Linked DNA regions of Arabidopsis thaliana. The protein of the gene in region 2 interacts with the protein of the main gene of each other region in a pairwise test. Each region holds a gene or a part of one and is shown on either strand. Other genes may lie near its edges. The genes, in order: AT2G40260, FRS5, AT3G19070 and AT4G10600.

Region 1 (4,693 bases), on a different chromosome or scaffold from region 2:
TGTACACTGCGTATATAGTTTCTACAATCTCAGATCTTCAGTTCAAACCCTATATTATAAAAAAGTTATAGCCTTATAGGTACCGAAATTTTAAAAGTTGAGAGACATAAAACACGAAGACTTTGGTCCACGCTTAGAATTTGATTGGTTCATTTCATATATGTGTCAAGGAAAATGAATTAGCATAGTGTCGTGGTCAATTTCAACGGATTATATAACTTAGTAAATCAATACCGTAGTTAATATACCCTTTTTTTGTCAATACCGTGATTGATATTAATACTTAGCATTTGGTATCTGTTGGGTCGTATAATTGATCATGGGTTGTCTGAGCATGGAAGTAGGATTATAGGGTAGATATGAAGAACGTCATTCTAACGTAAATTATTATTGCTACACTTTTAAAACCAAAATATACGACAGCTTTAATTCTTCCTACCAATTAATAACGACGACGAAAATATACGATTACGGCTGGACATTGGGCTTCCAAAAACGATTTTGAAAAAAAAAAAAAAAACAGAAAGAAATGTCATATACCTAATTTATTTGACCGATGACTTTCACATTATCTGGTCACCATTCACAAAATTTGACACAGTACTTGCATGTCGCTTACAAGAAAAATTAGCCTGCTGATGTTAGAGGAATACAGATAGATACAATTCTGCCTTGACCCTCTCCTGGAGGCGCAAAGTTCATGACAATAAGTAAATCATATATTATACATTTTAATTTTCTCCTTTCTAAGTTCTTAAAAAAGTATGACATCCCCTACTTTGCCTACTTCCTTAATTTCACAAAAATAAAAGTATGACATACTTAATTAGAACATATCTTTTGTTTAGTATTTTACTAGTAATTTTAATAGTACGTACGCTATATAGAACGAACTAATCACCCCTGAACTGAATTCCAAACTAAATCAATTGGTTGCATGTGTGTACGTACAGAAACTCATATAATTCTCAAGTTCAATTCTGTGATAATCATGTGACTTATTAGCTTCAGTTGTTATATTCTGTATCCTAATTTATTTATTTATTTTTTAACATTTATTTGGGTTATATATAGAAAAAGAGATGTACTATTTGCATGTATATAGAGAGAGGCGCATGTGTAGATAATTATAGATAATATGAAATCGTAAGAGTAGTGGAGATGGAGACAAACCCGTGATTGTCGTTGGTGACAGAAACAAGTAGTAATATTTTCTTCTCGTGTCTTTCAGTGAAGACAGCCCAGCCAAGCACCTTTTAACTTCTGTCTGATTCCTCTCTCTATGCTCTTTCTCTGTCTATCTATCTAATTATGCTTTTGGGTTTCTTCTTTTTCTGGTTTCACAGCTTTGGCTTTGAAGTCACGAGCCCATCCCCCTAACCATCCCCTTTTATGCTTTGCTTTTCTAGTCAATTTAATTCATGAGTTGTAACGATGGAAGAAGTTTCATTTATCTAATTAATGTGTATGCCTCATTAATGTTGCCTTCTTCCTATATTGCTAAAAGCTAGTTCGAATGAAACAAAAACACGTACCAAATCCAATGAAAAACATAGATCTTCAGTTGGTTTTGAAAGAAAGAACAAAAAAAATTGTTAATGTACATGTCATATTGAACCCTGATTTATGTCATAAAATTGGTATACGTACGGGTTGATATCATGAAAACGTTTGATCTTTTACCATGAAAATGATCATTATTTAGATAAATTCAATCTACTCCTTGGAATTTCTTTTCACTCCCTATCACAACGAGATTCAAAGATTAATTGTACTAATTGACTTAATAGTTATTAACTCATTTTAAAATACATCTTATGACTGAAGTTACTAATGTTTAATGAAATTAAAAGTACCATTTTTGTCATGAGGTGTAATTCTAGATCTATCTTTCCCTAAGATGTATATAACTGTAGAAAAAACCATTGGTGTAATAAAAAGCTATATATTAAATAGAATTTAGAATATCCGTTGCCATCATATACATATTTCAACATATATGTTGAGTTGGAGAGAGAGGGGGAGAAAAAGGAATGATGGATACAAGCATCCAAAAAGTCATACACATAGACCATCAAAAGTCTTCACCTTAAATTCCTAACACATATGTATGAGTGTGTGATCTTTGTTTGATCTTTGTCCAGAGAACTCCAAGATAGACCAAAAAGGTTCAACCTCAAAACAAACAACACAAAAACAGCCAAATAGCTAGAGACCAAGATGAGATCAAGCAGCCAAAATTCTGAAAACTCCAAGACTTGTCTATCTAACAACATCAAAGCAACCACCAAGAATGAAGAAGATAAAGATGAAGAGGATGATGAAGAAGGCGAAGAGGATGAAGAAGAGAGATCTGGAGATCAGAGCCCATCTAGCAATAGCTATGAGGAAGAGAGTGGGAGTCACCACCATGATCAGAACAAGAAGAATGGAGGATCCGTGAGGCCGTACAACCGCTCAAAGACTCCGAGGCTGCGATGGACGCCGGAGCTCCATATTTGCTTTCTTCAAGCTGTGGAGAGATTGGGTGGCCCAGATAGTTGAGTTTCAATTATATATATGAATCAATATCAAGATCATTGCATATGTGAAGATCTCTAAATTTCTAGGGTTTTCTTGTTGATATTTATTTGGGGTCTCTTTCAATGATTTTGTTGAAACAGGAGCAACACCGAAGCTTGTTCTCCAATTGATGAACGTCAAGGGGCTAAGTATTGCCCATGTTAAGAGTCATCTTCAGGTTTTGCAAATATCCACATACACATAGAGTATATATCTATATACATCATTGAGATCTTCATCTGAAATCATACTTCATTTTTTTTTCTTCTTAGATGTACAGAAGCAAGAAGACCGATGAGCCTAATGAAGGTAGTTTACTTAGCTTTCTTCTACCTTCTGATTTAAGTTAGGGCTTCTATAAATCTTATAATTGAATTCGACGAGAAATTGACTAATTCTTGTCTCTCGTGTTTTATCTTTTCTTATAACTACAGGAGATCAAGGATTTTCGTTTGAACACGGAGCTGGTTACACTTACAACCTTAGCCAACTTCCAATGCTACAAAGTTTTGATCAAAGGCCTTCTTCTAGTTTAGGGTATTTACAAACTCTTCAGCTAGCTATCTTTAAACTATAAGTTAAAATTACGTGTGTGTAACTTGGAATGTATTCAATAGATATGGTGGTGGTTCGTGGACTGACCACAGACGACAGATCTACCGTAGCCCTTGGAGAGGATTAACGACACGAGAAAATACAAGAACAAGACAAACAATGTTTAGCTCACAGCCTGGTGAGAGATATCACGGAGTTAGCAATAGTATTCTTAACGATAAGAACAAAACTATTTCATTTCGAATCAATTCTCATGAAGGGGTTCATGATAACAATGGAGTAGCTGGAGCTGTTCCAAGAATTCATAGAAGTTTTCTTGAAGGTATGAAAACGTTTAACAAATCATGGGGACAGAGCCTCTCTTCCAATCTTAAGTCCTCCACCGCAACAATACCACAAGATCATATTGCTACAACGCTAAATTCTTATCAATGGGAGAATGCTGGAGTGGCAGAAGGATCAGAGAATGTTTTGAAGAGGAAGAGGTTATTATTTTCTGATGACTGCAATAAGTCAGACCAAGATTTGGATCTAAGCTTGTCCCTTAAGGTACCTCGGACACACGACAATCTTGGAGAATGCTTGTTAGAAGATGAAGTAAAAGAACATGATGATCATCAAGATATCAAGAGTTTGTCTCTTTCGTTATCATCTTCAGGTTCATCAAAACTCGACCGAACCATTAGGAAAGAAGATCAAACTGATCACAAAAAGAGAAAGATTTCGGTCTTGGCAAGTCCCCTTGATCTCACTCTGTGAATATGTATAACAACTTATATACGTATATTCTAAGTGAGATCTTGTGGTACTTGTTGATGGAAGACGGTTCTGTATTGTTGTTTATCATTCGTTGCATACTTGTGACAAGACCCATAATTAAGGAAATAATAGAGACATTTTTTAATGTTTTTTATTAAAAAAAAATTCACATAATTTTGTCGAGATCGTTAAATGCATATTTTAAAATATATATGATTTGTGATCGAGTTGGGAGCAGAAATTTGTTTTCTTCTAAATAGTATAGTAACCAAGAAATACATTAGTGAGAGTCTATATATATGGTTTTGAGAGTTACAAGACATTGCACGTTGTCTATAAGCTTGTCTAGACGTTGCAATGTATATGTAGTTTACTCTCACATAACAAGTATCCTAAGCAATATTTTTGTTTTAACATGGAGATATTGTCTGAAAATTTATACGTTAACGTCAAATCAGTGAATACAAGAAAAGAAGATGAAGACTTCCGAGTCATAGCTTTCTGAGCTATAGCATTATTATTTTTATAAAGACGAGTTTTTGCCTTCTTCAAAATCGTTTTATAAATTATTCTATGTTTTAGATTTGTAGTTGAAATTATATGAAAGGTCCGTTAATTTAAAAATCAGGTCTGCTGAATGTTTTGTTTGTATTAAAAAAACAAAAAAAAAAAAACAAATCGGTTCTGATAACCAACCAAAGTTTATTTTAATTTAGTTGCGAGGTTAATTAAGAAAAAAAGAAGACACTTTCTTTAAGAGAAAATTGGAGAGAACGACAAGAAGACAGATGTACTTGACATAGAGATATGTCTTGAT
Region 2 (5,478 bases):
GACAGATATATATATAAAGATCCTTTACCAAAAAATAAATGATTCTCTGTTTTTCTTTTCCAGGGACCAGTTTATGTTGGAACAGGTACTATGTTTAGGCGCTTTGCTCTCTATGGTTTTGATCCACCCAACCCTGACAAGCTTCTTGAGAAGAAGGAATCAGAAACAGAGGCTCTAACCACCAGTGACTTTGACCCGGACCTTGATGTCACACAACTCCCCAAGCGCTTTGGGAACTCCACACTCCTAGCTGAGTCAATTCCAATTGCAGAGTTCCAAGGTCGTCCATTGGCAGACCACCCGGCTGTCAAGTACGGTCGTCCTCCCGGAGCCCTTAGAGTCCCTCGTGACCCACTTGATGCTACCACTGTCGCAGAGTCTGTTTCTGTAATCTCTTGTTGGTATGAGGATAAAACGGAGTGGGGAGATAGAGTTGGATGGATTTATGGGTCGGTGACAGAGGACGTGGTCACAGGATACCGCATGCATAATCGTGGGTGGCGCTCGGTTTACTGCATAACTAAGCGAGATTCTTTTCGAGGCTCTGCACCCATTAATCTCACGGATCGTCTTCACCAGGTGTTGCGGTGGGCCACTGGGTCTGTTGAGATCTTCTTCTCTAGAAACAACGCCATTCTCGCCTCCAAACGTCTCAAGTTCCTCCAACGTCTCGCATACCTCAATGTTGGGATATACCCTTTCACGTCTCTGTTTCTCATCCTCTATTGTTTTCTTCCGGCATTCTCTCTTTTCTCTGGACAGTTCATCGTGCGGACGCTCAGTATCTCCTTCTTGGTCTACCTTCTTATGATCACCATTTGTTTGATTGGATTGGCGGTTTTGGAGGTCAAGTGGTCTGGCATTGGGCTGGAAGAATGGTGGAGAAACGAACAGTGGTGGCTCATCTCAGGAACAAGCTCTCACCTTTACGCAGTGGTCCAAGGAGTCCTCAAAGTGATTGCAGGGATCGAGATCTCCTTTACCTTGACGACCAAGTCAGGGGGAGATGACAATGAAGACATATACGCGGATTTGTACATAGTGAAATGGTCGTCGCTGATGATACCGCCTATAGTGATAGCAATGGTGAACATAATAGCGATTGTGGTGGCGTTCATCAGGACAATATACCAAGCGGTGCCACAATGGAGCAAGCTAATCGGAGGAGCATTTTTCAGCTTCTGGGTGTTGGCGCATTTGTATCCATTTGCAAAAGGATTGATGGGACGAAGAGGCAAAACTCCAACCATAGTTTTTGTGTGGGCAGGTCTCATTGCCATCACCATCTCTCTACTGTGGACGGCCATAAACCCAAACACCGGACCTGCAGCTGCTGCAGAGGGTGTTGGAGGCGGTGGTTTTCAATTCCCGTAATTAAAAAAGCATTCATATAGGCGACTTGAGAGTTTTGTAGACTAATCACAAGAAATTAATACGTATACTATCTTTGTTTCTTTTTGTTTTTGTTTTTGTTCCTGGTAGTAAATTTTCAGATAACTACATGTATATCTGGATTGAGATGTCATGACTGTATAAATCAGCCTTTGTATCAATCATTTCGTCTTTAAAAGTCAATTTTTCCTCTCCTCCACTCGCAACTGATAGTGAACCATACGGTAAGCGTAAAAGAGGATGGGCCTTATAAAGTAAATGAAGAGGGAGTGGGCCTTATAAAATTATAAATGAAGAAGGAATGGGCCTTATAAAATAAATGAAGAAGGAATGGGCCTTGCTTAAATTAAAAAAAGAGAATTAGAAGCACCGTCTGTCTTCCTCCTCCGTGCCCTCCGACGACTCTATTCCCAGTCTCCCTCCTCCGTCGTCTCTCATCTTCCTTTTCATTCTTCGGTTATTATAACGTAATCAATTACAAGTTCCCTTATCTCTTCTTTTCTGGTTTCTCCCGCGCACGAACGCGCATTCCCTCGTCTTCGCTGCCTCCCAATCTCAATCTCAGACTTGAAATCAAATCACGACTGTAAGTGGTTCTATCTACAGTAGCTAGCTATTTCATCCTGTTGTGGACAATAGATAGATAGAATTCATCCCTGAAGACAAGGAGGATATGATGGATAATGAAGTGCTCGACTTCGATATTGGTGTAGGAGTTAGTAGTGGCGGAGATGTTGATGACGACGCTATTGATATTGAGCACCATGCTCTCGACGACGATGATATGCTCGACAGCCCAATTATGCCTTGCGGTAATGGTCTTGTTGGCAATTCTGGAAATTACTTTCCCAACCAGGAGGAGGAGGCTTGTGATCTCCTGGATCTCGAGCCCTATGATGGTCTTGAATTCGAGTCCGAAGAAGCTGCCAAGGCATTCTACAACTCGTATGCCCGTCGCATTGGCTTTAGTACCCGTGTCAGTTCCTCCCGCCGCTCCCGCCGTGATGGAGCTATCATCCAGAGGCAATTTGTCTGTGCCAAAGAAGGTTTCAGAAATATGAATGAAAAGCGCACCAAGGACAGGGAGATCAAGCGTCCCAGGACCATCACTCGAGTCGGTTGCAAAGCCTCCCTCTCTGTTAAGATGCAGGATTCCGGTAAATGGCTTGTCTCTGGCTTTGTCAAAGACCACAACCATGAGCTTGTTCCTCCCGACCAAGTTCACTGTCTGCGTTCCCACAGGCAAATCTCTGGCCCTGCCAAGACTTTGATTGACACACTTCAAGCTGCAGGAATGGGTCCCCGCAGAATCATGTCCGCCCTCATCAAAGAGTATGGTGGCATCAGCAAGGTTGGTTTCACCGAAGTGGACTGTAGGAATTATATGAGGAACAACCGCCAGAAGAGCATAGAAGGAGAGATTCAGCTTCTTCTTGACTACTTGAGGCAGATGAATGCTGACAACCCAAACTTCTTTTATTCTGTTCAGGGAAGCGAAGATCAGTCTGTTGGTAATGTCTTCTGGGCTGATCCTAAAGCTATAATGGATTTCACTCACTTTGGAGACACCGTTACATTTGATACAACCTACAGGTCCAACAGGTACCGTTTGCCTTTCGCACCCTTCACTGGTGTAAATCACCATGGCCAACCCATTCTTTTCGGCTGTGCCTTTATCATCAATGAAACTGAGGCTTCATTTGTATGGCTTTTCAATACGTGGCTAGCCGCAATGTCCGCCCACCCTCCTGTCTCAATCACCACCGATCATGATGCTGTTATACGTGCAGCCATCATGCACGTTTTTCCTGGTGCCCGCCATCGCTTTTGCAAATGGCATATTTTAAAGAAATGTCAGGAGAAGCTGTCGCATGTCTTCCTCAAGCATCCTTCGTTTGAGTCAGATTTCCACAAATGTGTCAATCTGACAGAGTCGGTTGAGGATTTTGAGAGATGCTGGTTTTCACTTCTTGACAAGTATGAGCTAAGAGATCATGAGTGGCTACAAGCAATATACTCCGATCGCCGGCAGTGGGTCCCAGTATATCTCCGTGATACCTTTTTTGCCGACATGTCCTTAACTCATCGTAGTGATAGTATCAATTCATATTTTGATGGTTATATAAACGCTTCAACCAATCTAAGCCAGTTCTTTAAGCTGTATGAAAAAGCTTTGGAGAGTCGTCTCGAGAAAGAAGTTAAAGCAGATTATGACACAATGAACTCACCTCCTGTTCTGAAGACTCCATCTCCAATGGAGAAGCAGGCGTCTGAACTTTACACAAGGAAGTTGTTTATGAGATTTCAGGAAGAACTAGTTGGAACCCTGACTTTCATGGCATCCAAAGCTGACGATGATGGGGATCTTGTTACCTACCAGGTTGCGAAATATGGAGAGGCTCACAAGGCTCATTTCGTTAAGTTCAACGTTTTGGAGATGAGAGCAAATTGCAGTTGCCAGATGTTTGAGTTCTCTGGCATCATTTGCAGACATATATTGGCAGTCTTCCGGGTCACCAATCTCCTTACACTTCCACCTTACTACATCCTAAAAAGATGGACCAGAAATGCCAAAAGCAGTGTTATATTTGATGATTATAATTTGCATGCGTATGCTAATTACCTGGAGTCTCATACCGTCCGATACAACACCTTACGTCACAAAGCTTCTAATTTTGTGCAAGAAGCTGGAAAATCTCTGTATACTTGTGATGTCGCAGTTGTTGCTCTGCAAGAAGCTGCCAAGACTGTGTCCCTGGCAATGAATAAGGAAGTTAGAAGAACTATGGCGAACAGGCATTTTAAAGCGAGTTCTGTAACTGGTGGAAAACATCAGCAAGAAGTGCTGGCGCAACCTGAGCCCGAGGTGAGGATCATTTTCTTTTCGATACTTGTTTTCTTTTTGATATAATAGCAATCAAATTTGTTGCTCTAAAAAATAGTTATATACGTTTGAAGTATCGTTTGTGCGGGTTTGCCCCATACAATACAATCATTGCTTTGTCTCCTTGACGGTACCATAATGCTGATTGCTCTGTTAACGTTTGACTAATGAGCTCGTGATTCACATATGCATGTTAAGAGTATGGTCTTCATTTTGCCATTGTGAGCCTTTGTTCCGTACAATCTGCAAGGTCCTCAATTTTGCTATGTGCTTTTACTGCTGACTAATTGCATGACCGTATTTCCTCTACTTTCGCAGGACGAAATGGACAAGAAGATTAATCAGCTCAGAAACGAGCTGGAATTAGCAAACAGGAAATGCGAAGCTTACAGGACTAACCTACTTTCAGTTTTGAAAGAAATGGAAGACCAAAAGTTACAAGTGTCCATCAAAGTGCAGAACATCAAAATTAGCTTGAAGGATAATCTGTGAAACAAGCAACAAATTCCGACTGCTATTCTCATCTATAACATATTGCTCATGTACTATATCTCTTATAGGGTTTTTGAAAGAGGGACCCAATTTTCAGGATTTCCCTGTTCTTACAGTAGGTAGCCTTTGTAATAGATTGTACTCCCAATCATTTCCTTACTGAGTAAGAGCATGAAGTTGATTCCCATAAATGTTTGCATACCAAGTTACCAACCACAGTACGTGAGTTGAATTGTGATGTTATGTATCCAGCAGATTGCACTCACTCTTTCAAGCTTAGTCTAGCATTTTGTACCTTGAGGGATAGCTGAAACTTCTGTTCTTCCATATCTCTCAAAATAGACAGCAGGTTTGCTCGATAAACTTCACATCGCTGGCCTGTCCTCTCCAACTCAGCTGTCAGTTCAAGTATCGTCCTCTCTTTTTCACCCTGGCATTGAAGTAAGTACTTATTCCCAAGGAACAGAGGACATCAATGTTAAAGAATTATCAAATACCAGTATTCGCTTACCCCTGGATGATTCGTTGCATTTGCTGTTTCTCGAGCTTCCTCGGACGGGTAAGCTTCCCCATTGGGAAGCCTAGTTCCAGGTGTTCTGTTACTTGCAGCAGCAACCTTCTTGGCAGCTTCATCCAAAGCATCCATTGCAACTTTATAGATCTGAATAGATTTGGCACCTTCCTCGACATACTTGGTTGCTTCTTGGCGT
Region 3 (3,420 bases), on a different chromosome or scaffold from region 2:
TCTGTTTAGAATTTCAGTATTGAAATCTAAATTATAGTTTGTTTAGATTTTACTAAAGATCCTAGTACTCCAATAAATACAATCTTTGTATTTTTAAATAACACTGATATTATTGATCTTATCCCTATCATTAAATTCAACGACAAAAGTAAACTTTGTTGCAAAAGAGAAGAAGACTATAATAGAGAGACGACAGATCTCGTTCTCAAGATGGTGCACTCGCATTACACATTTGAAATCCGACAGGCCCGTTCACATTTATTCTTAATTCGTCATCCTCGTCCAGGATACTTTAAGAAGAGGTAATTTCTAGGTTTTTAATGTGTTTTTTCCACTCTGATTTAAAATCCTTTCTTCTCTCCCAAGCTTCCCTTTGCTTTCAATCCCCAGGAGCTGGAAGGATTGTAATGAGTTCGAGCAAGAAATCTCAAAAATCGAATCATTTCCGGAAATAATATCCAGAATTGATGAATATGTTGCACAACTTAAGGAGGAGGTGGCCTATCTAAAGATAGGTATTTATTCAGAGTATCTATTTGATCATTCTTTCTATTTTATTCTCCTTTTTTATCTTTATGTGTTTCATATTCGTGTAGCCAAGGCGATTGTCGAAGAGAGGGCTAGGATTCGCTCCATAAAAAGAGCGGAGGCGCGTAAGGTTTTAGAAAAGTAAGTTTAACAATTGACGACTTTTTAGAGAAATTTTTAATGATATTGACGACTTAGATGATTAATTATGATCATTATCAACCGTTTAATGATTACTTTTACTTTAATAGTTTAAGGCAAACTCTACTCGGGGAGATGAGGAAGAGGAAGGCTGACGAGGATCTATGAGAACTGATGATCACATAAACTTCATGCTACATGCAATAAACGCGGTTAATTGGGTTTTGTTTTTTCTTCAACATCAACCCGACCTAGCTAGGGTATTATCTATATATATGGGACATCTTATCATCTGATCTGCATGTACCTATTTTTATTATTATAAATGCTTCATATATTAAGAAGAAAAGTTGTAGGCTTGTAGCAACCGATTCATAGTGGAAAATCCTTTTTTTTTTTTTTATGAAAATCAGATCGGCCGCAAAAACAACTTTCACCATGCACGAAGCTAGAAACTGCATTGATGTACCGTGTACGCTGTTTTTAATATAAAATAATTGCAGTTTTATTAGTTAGGCTACAAATATGAAATCAGGAGAAATATACCAATTAATGTACGTCCTAATTGCTTGGTATGTTACATAACCTTAAGTTGTATAATATTTATTAATTTATTTTATACTGGAGTTGATAGCTTTAAAAGTTGAGAGCAAAGTAACTTGAGACCATTTTAGAGTTAGCAAAGTAATGGAGAAAATAAGAAAAATCACACGCATGCAGCATGATGTATAATTATTGGAAACATGTATTTCCAAGAAAGTAATCAGTTCTCTGTACGCCTGAATTCGATTTTCATAAAGCTCACTTCCTTGGATTGCTAGAGCAAACATTTATATTGATATCTGCGTTAACATCATAACATGTGGGTTTTTAGTAATTCTCAACAGTATGGGTATTTTTGCTCTCTCTAGAGAGGGTAAATTTGTGATTCCATCTGCAAATTATTCCTCCTATATATATATAGAACGTGATGAATCAAATTTCTTAAGTTGCAAGCCATGACTAATCTTGATGAGTTTCTTGAAGAGCTAAGTTCTATTGAATCACATTCTCAGAAAATCGTGAAGATAGATGAGCATTTAAAAAAGTTGGATGAAGAGACGAAAGAAGATGAAGATGAAGATGCGGCGAAGATAATTCAAGATCGGAGTACCGCGAGAGAAGCAGGTTAATTTCTTCTCCTTCACCTTGTAATTTAAAGTTGTTCCTCTCTCATTCTCAAATCTTGTTGGGTCTTGGAAACGCAGAAATTGCTCTACTTATGGATCTCCGTCAGAACTTTCTTCCACCACCATCGATGTCATCCTCCTCTCTTCAACCACCGTCATCGTCAACTCTCGCACCATCGTCATCATCCTCTCTTCAACCACCCGCACCGTTGATAGACTTCTTTCGGTCATCAGTGTCATACTCTCATCAACCACCGTCATCTTCAACTCTCGCAACATCATCGTCACCGTCTCTTCAACCACCGTCGATGTCATCCTCCTCTCTTCAACCACCCGCATCTTTGAGGGAATTCTTTACGTCGTCAGTGTCATACTCTCATCAGCCATCTTCATCTTCAACTCTCGCAACATCTTCGTTCTTTCCGTCGTCAATGCCATACTCTGTTCGACCTCCCGATTCGTCTGATCGACCATCTTTGAGGGAATTCTTTCCGTCGTCACCATCATCCTCTATTCAGCCACCCGAATCATCATCATCTAAGCGAGCACGGCTTAGTAACATCTTTCCGTCACCTTTATCCTCCTCTCCGTCACCGTTTGTTAACCCGTTTCTCCGTCCGCAGGCCCAAGAACCAACAATACCAAATTTCATAAACCCAATACCACAGATCTCTCCAGGCCTACCTGCTCTATTCCCAAACCCTAACCCTAATCCTAACCCTAACCCAATCCCAAACCCAATCCGAAACCCAGACTTGGTGTGGACAAATAGGCTTCAACTAGTGTTTGATGACGCAGTTGTCAGACTTGGGGGATTATTCAGTATGCAACTTTATAATTTTTTTATTTATTTTGTTTATTCTTTCAACTCCTAACTATTTTCCTAATTTTTTTTTTTTTTTTCAGGTGCAACACCCAAAGCCATAAACGAACTAATTTCTGAAGAGGGTCTCACTGGTGACCAGATCCGTAGCCACTTACAAGTCTTGCGGGATCGTCAAAAGGCTATTGCAGACAAATTAGCCTTGGAGTGAAGAAAATATTGAAGATGAGAGATAGGATTAAATAGAAAGAGTGATAGTATAGAACGTTTCTTTTTCTTTTGTTGTTAATCTTGCATATTACAAACAATTACTATATCATAATAGAATTTATGTTAATGTTGGAGTTATTAAAAAAAAAAAAGTTAACCATAATAACATTCTTACTGTACGCATGAGTGATCATTTATCACAATCTATTAGAGCAACCCCAATGGGTGGGATGATGACAGTCCCTAAAAAACCAAAAAATAATAATATTTTAATTTTTTAACATAGTTTGACAACTAAAAAACCTACACATGTACATTTAATCTTCAGGTCCCTTATATAAGGGTTTTTGGAGCCCTTCTCTCCTGTGTCCCTTCCATTTTAATTATTTTTTTTTTTTTTATATTGTAAGGGACCTTAAGAGAGACCACCATTGCTGGTGCAGGCTGTAGAAAAATTTGTTTAGCTTCTCCTTCTTTTCTTAATTTTGACAGATAAGTCTCAGCCTCTCTCCCCCCATAAGGGTATGTCTTGACATTTAGATTCGTTGA
Region 4 (3,838 bases), about 11 Mb from region 2:
ATAGGGTGCTGAGGAGATAAAGGAGTCGCATGCAACTTCCTTCTCTTTTCAAGACCCGATTTAACTCTAGCATAAACCCAATTGATCATTATCCTCAGGCGAACGAGTTACGGCAACGACGGTGGCTAGGGTTTCCTCGGACTCTCTCTAAGATTTTGACTAAGGAGAAAATTAAGGAGACTACCTATCTATTTATAAGGATATTAATCGGCTAGGGTTTTCTTTTTGTCTAACGAAATTTTAGGTTTACTCTCTCGTTACGGGCTTATATGGATAATTAAGGGCTTTTCTCCAATGAGTTTTAATGGATTTACATGAGTTTCATATAGAATTGAGACTTTTCTTTTACTTAGCGATTTGGATCCTACAACAATGGCCACTAAATATGTGCCTACCAAGCGACACAAAACATCAAACATAAACCATGTGGCACTTAAGATTTGAGCTTCTAGCGATTCTTGAAGTAAAGCCATATCAGATGGCTGATGTTAGCTTGCACAGTTGCACTTAAGCATAAAACAGACTCAATGCAATGCAATAACTTTGGCATTTCAAGTTTATTCTTGTTCCATAAAGCACAAAATTCTGCATATACTCCGTAAGTTCCGGAAACAATTTGGAAGTCGCACCAACGCTTTGCAGCCTTTCATATTCAAGAGAAGAGTTTTTTGGAATACAAGTAGGATATCAGGACCCTTTAGTGCACTGCCTTCCAACAAGAGCTTTCTTATCTATTTGAAATCACCTAAAATTGTTCATGGTGAGAATTGTCAGAGAATTCAACTTCATCTATGGAAGGACGGAGGGCGAGGAGAGTCCGCGAAGCCTTCAAGATTTTGAGCGCCTACTAATCCTGAAACTGCGAACCGCTCACATGAATGACTAAGATTGAGTTAATCATCAAGATAAAACAAGCCTTTCTTGCTCCTAATTTGACCTACACAAACTTATAAACCAAGCAATCGAGTTTATCATCAATGGAAAGAATTTACACTTTTTATTGCATATTATGTGGATGTTAAGTATCCTACAACTGTTAGTTGATTGCAAAGACAAATGAAACCATGAACCATTGTGGTTATATCTGAATATAAGGTTAAGAATCTAAACTAGTGACAAAGTTATAAACCTTACCATTCTTGTGTAAGAAATCTATTAAAATAAGAAATGTTGGTTGTGTAACACATAATGCCTCTTCTGTATCCAAATCAAAGCCTTCTTACATCATTATTCTTCCTCTTTATCAGCAACTTTAACCTTCTTCTTTACCCCATCTTCAAAACCACCCACCGACTCGTTTCTCCTCTTATATATACTCAAAGGATCACAAAGCAAGCTCTTCTCTTTCTCTACATCACTCTCAATTTCTCTAGAACCACAATTCCTAGCATTGTCTCCCTTACCATCCACACCGTTTTCTTTCGACATAGACAACAAAACACCAGCAAGATTACTATCATCTTCATCCCCAACAACATCACACACATTCTCCTTCTCATCCCAACAAGGAAACTCCCTACACTGAAACCTAAACTTCTTAGGCACATAACCACTACACTTCCATAACTGCCGACTAAAAACCGAAGAAACACATTCAAACAAACCCAAATCACCACCAGGAACTCCTTGTACATGAACCCTTTCTTCAATTGGTATCTCTGAACAAGCCTTCAATACAACACTCTCACTACTCTGCGTACATAAATTCTCCATTCTCAACGATTTAGTAACCGATAACTTGGACAATTCATCTTCATTGTTTTTTATCTTACACTTGTGGCAAACAAACAAATCATCACCTTTAACATAACGAGAACACCATGTATGAACCCAAACACCACATTCATCACAATCAACCATCTCTTTACCATCATCAAAATTCACACCACAAACACAATCTACTGTCCATGATTCATAAACCCAATCTTCGTGTGGCTTCATCTCAAATTTACCCCCAAAAAAAAAACTCTAAATTTCTCTGATTCTTTCACAAATTAACCCAGAAATCTCCCTGAATATCGAAGCTTTGTCAAACCCAATTCGTTTCTTCTGAACGACGATTGTAATGTTACGCGAAATAGCTTTGCGATTCTTGATAGAAAAAAAGCTATCTTGACGTAAATCTATGGTTCTCGCTTCCCATTTCTGAACGAAGAAGACGAAGATAGGAACCATAATTACTAAAATATGGGCCGGTATGGGCCGGGATGGGCCGGGATGGGCCGGGATGGGCCGGGATGGGCCGGGCTTAGAGGATAGGTACTGTTTTTTTTTTGTGGACGGACCAAACGATTTCATTTAAAAACCAAAAGCAGATAAAAAACAGAATGGTCAAGCTCAAAGAGGAATACAAGCGGAAATTAACGGTCAAATAACTAAATCATAATGAAGTTAGCAAAAATATTTGCACGTATAATTTAGCCTAAAGACACGTGTAGAAGATGTGTTCTTCTGAAAACCACTCGTCACGTCGTAGTACCAAAATCTTCTGGGTCGATCATATGAAACCGCTTCAAAAAGATTTCGAAAACCGCTAACTTCGGGGAAGCTATATCACTGACTACACCCAATTTGATGTAGTCTAGGATCAATCTTTCTATGTACCTTGAATAAAAACAGAATGACGAAGATATTACTTCTTGAGCAATTAGGGAAACAAAAAGAATTTGGAAGACATACAGAAAAATCGAAGGAAAGATATTGGAATAGAGATATTGGAAGTTGAAGTTTTGATTTTTAGGTTTTTTTCTTTGATCGTTTTTATGCTAATTTTGTGTTTGTTAAAGCTGAAACTTCAATGAGATGGCTTTGATTTATGATTTTTATTTGGGAATTTTAGTTTGTAGATTTATGTTTTGTATGATCATTGAATCTTTGAATAACCCATGCACTAGTAAGATGTTATATTATAATATATGGATACTAGACTTGAATTGTTCTAATTAGTAGGAAGAGAACTATTGTTGATAAAATAACATGTACAACTAGTGTACCTGTTAGACTATCTACATTAGTTACATGGTTACAATGTCCACTTTTCTCTTTTCAACACTCCACATTATAATTCAATACCTACATAATTTTTACTTACTACAATAGTTTTGTTTAATAAAATTACAACACATTACCCTACCATTATTTTATATTTTTTATTTTAATTATGTTTATGTTTTTTGTGATTAATTAATTACAATTAATATCAAATAAAATTAAAATAAGTAAAAATTAAATATTTTAAAATATGAAGGATAGTTTGGAACAGTTGACGATATAAAGAAATTTGGTGGATAACCATAATTTGTTATATTATGTTGATGGTTAGGAGATTGATGTTGGGTAGTTAAAAAGGTAATTAGAAAAATTTTGGGAGTTAAAATGATATTATTATGATCTATTTCACTAAAAAGACGGATAAAAAATAAACAAGAGTTTATGAAGGATGATAGCAAAAGTTTAATTTAAAAAGATGGGGTTTTTGTGTCCAAATTAATTAAAACAAGTCTTTATTTTTGCTATAAGCCTTCATAAATTGGGGATTGTTAGGAGATTGATTTTGAAACTGATAATTGTTCAGATTTTGGTAGTTAAAAAAGTAGTTAGAAGAAGTTTGACATTCCTTAAATGTAGTGATATTGAAATTTTTTGACATTCCTTTAATGGATCAATGCATTCTGTTCCTATCCTTTCTTATATGGATTGAGACTAAAAATTCTTTGAACTACCACCGCTCAACTTTATCATGATAATTATAAGTCAACTCAAGTATTTATAGATTATCAAAGTCTTAATCCGAACTCGATAGGACCAAACTGAAACCAAACCAGTTATTTTATTTTTA

The links.
Region 1: the proteins of FRS5 (region 2) and AT2G40260 interact in a two-hybrid assay, tested with the Arabidopsis thaliana proteins (one large-scale study listed by BioGRID).
Region 3: the proteins of FRS5 (region 2) and AT3G19070 interact in a two-hybrid assay, tested with the Arabidopsis thaliana proteins (one large-scale study listed by BioGRID).
Region 4: the proteins of FRS5 (region 2) and AT4G10600 interact in a two-hybrid assay, tested with the Arabidopsis thaliana proteins (one large-scale study listed by BioGRID).

What each region holds. Positions count from the first base shown.
Region 1 is NC_003071.7:16,816,001-16,820,693, reverse strand, and holds AT2G40260 (Homeodomain-like superfamily protein), read left to right. Parts: upstream 1-1,963; 5' UTR 1,964-2,220; coding exon 2,221-2,539; exon of another isoform or gene 2,540-2,663; coding exon 2,664-2,740; intron 2,741-2,834; coding exon 2,835-2,871; intron 2,872-2,996; coding exon 2,997-3,099; intron 3,100-3,179; coding exon 3,180-3,876; 3' UTR 3,877-4,164; downstream 4,165-4,693.
Region 2 is NC_003075.7:17,905,992-17,911,469, reverse strand, and holds FRS5 (FAR1-related sequence 5), read left to right. Parts: upstream 1-1,726; 5' UTR 1,727-2,065; coding exon 2,066-4,258; intron 4,259-4,594; coding exon 4,595-4,768; 3' UTR 4,769-4,956; downstream 4,957-5,478. Other genes in the region: CSLD4 (cellulose synthase like D4), read left to right, coding at 64-1,374; FRS9 (FAR1-related sequence 9), read right to left, coding at 5,031-5,198, 5,280-5,478. UniProt on the Arabidopsis thaliana protein: Putative transcription activator involved in regulating light control of development.
Region 3 is NC_003074.8:6,592,106-6,595,525, forward strand, and holds AT3G19070 (Homeodomain-like superfamily protein), read left to right. Parts: upstream 1-1,667; coding exon 1,668-1,836; intron 1,837-1,916; coding exon 1,917-2,660; intron 2,661-2,744; coding exon 2,745-2,872; downstream 2,873-3,420. Other genes in the region: AT3G19055 (uncharacterized protein), read left to right, coding at 211-302, 391-515, 597-669, 786-837.
Region 4 is NC_003075.7:6,546,707-6,550,544, forward strand, and holds AT4G10600 (RING/FYVE/PHD zinc finger superfamily protein), read right to left. Parts: upstream 2,173-3,838; 5' UTR 1,942-2,172; coding exon 1,228-1,941; 3' UTR 1,135-1,227; exon of another isoform or gene 963-1,134; intron 860-962; 3' UTR 529-859; downstream 1-528.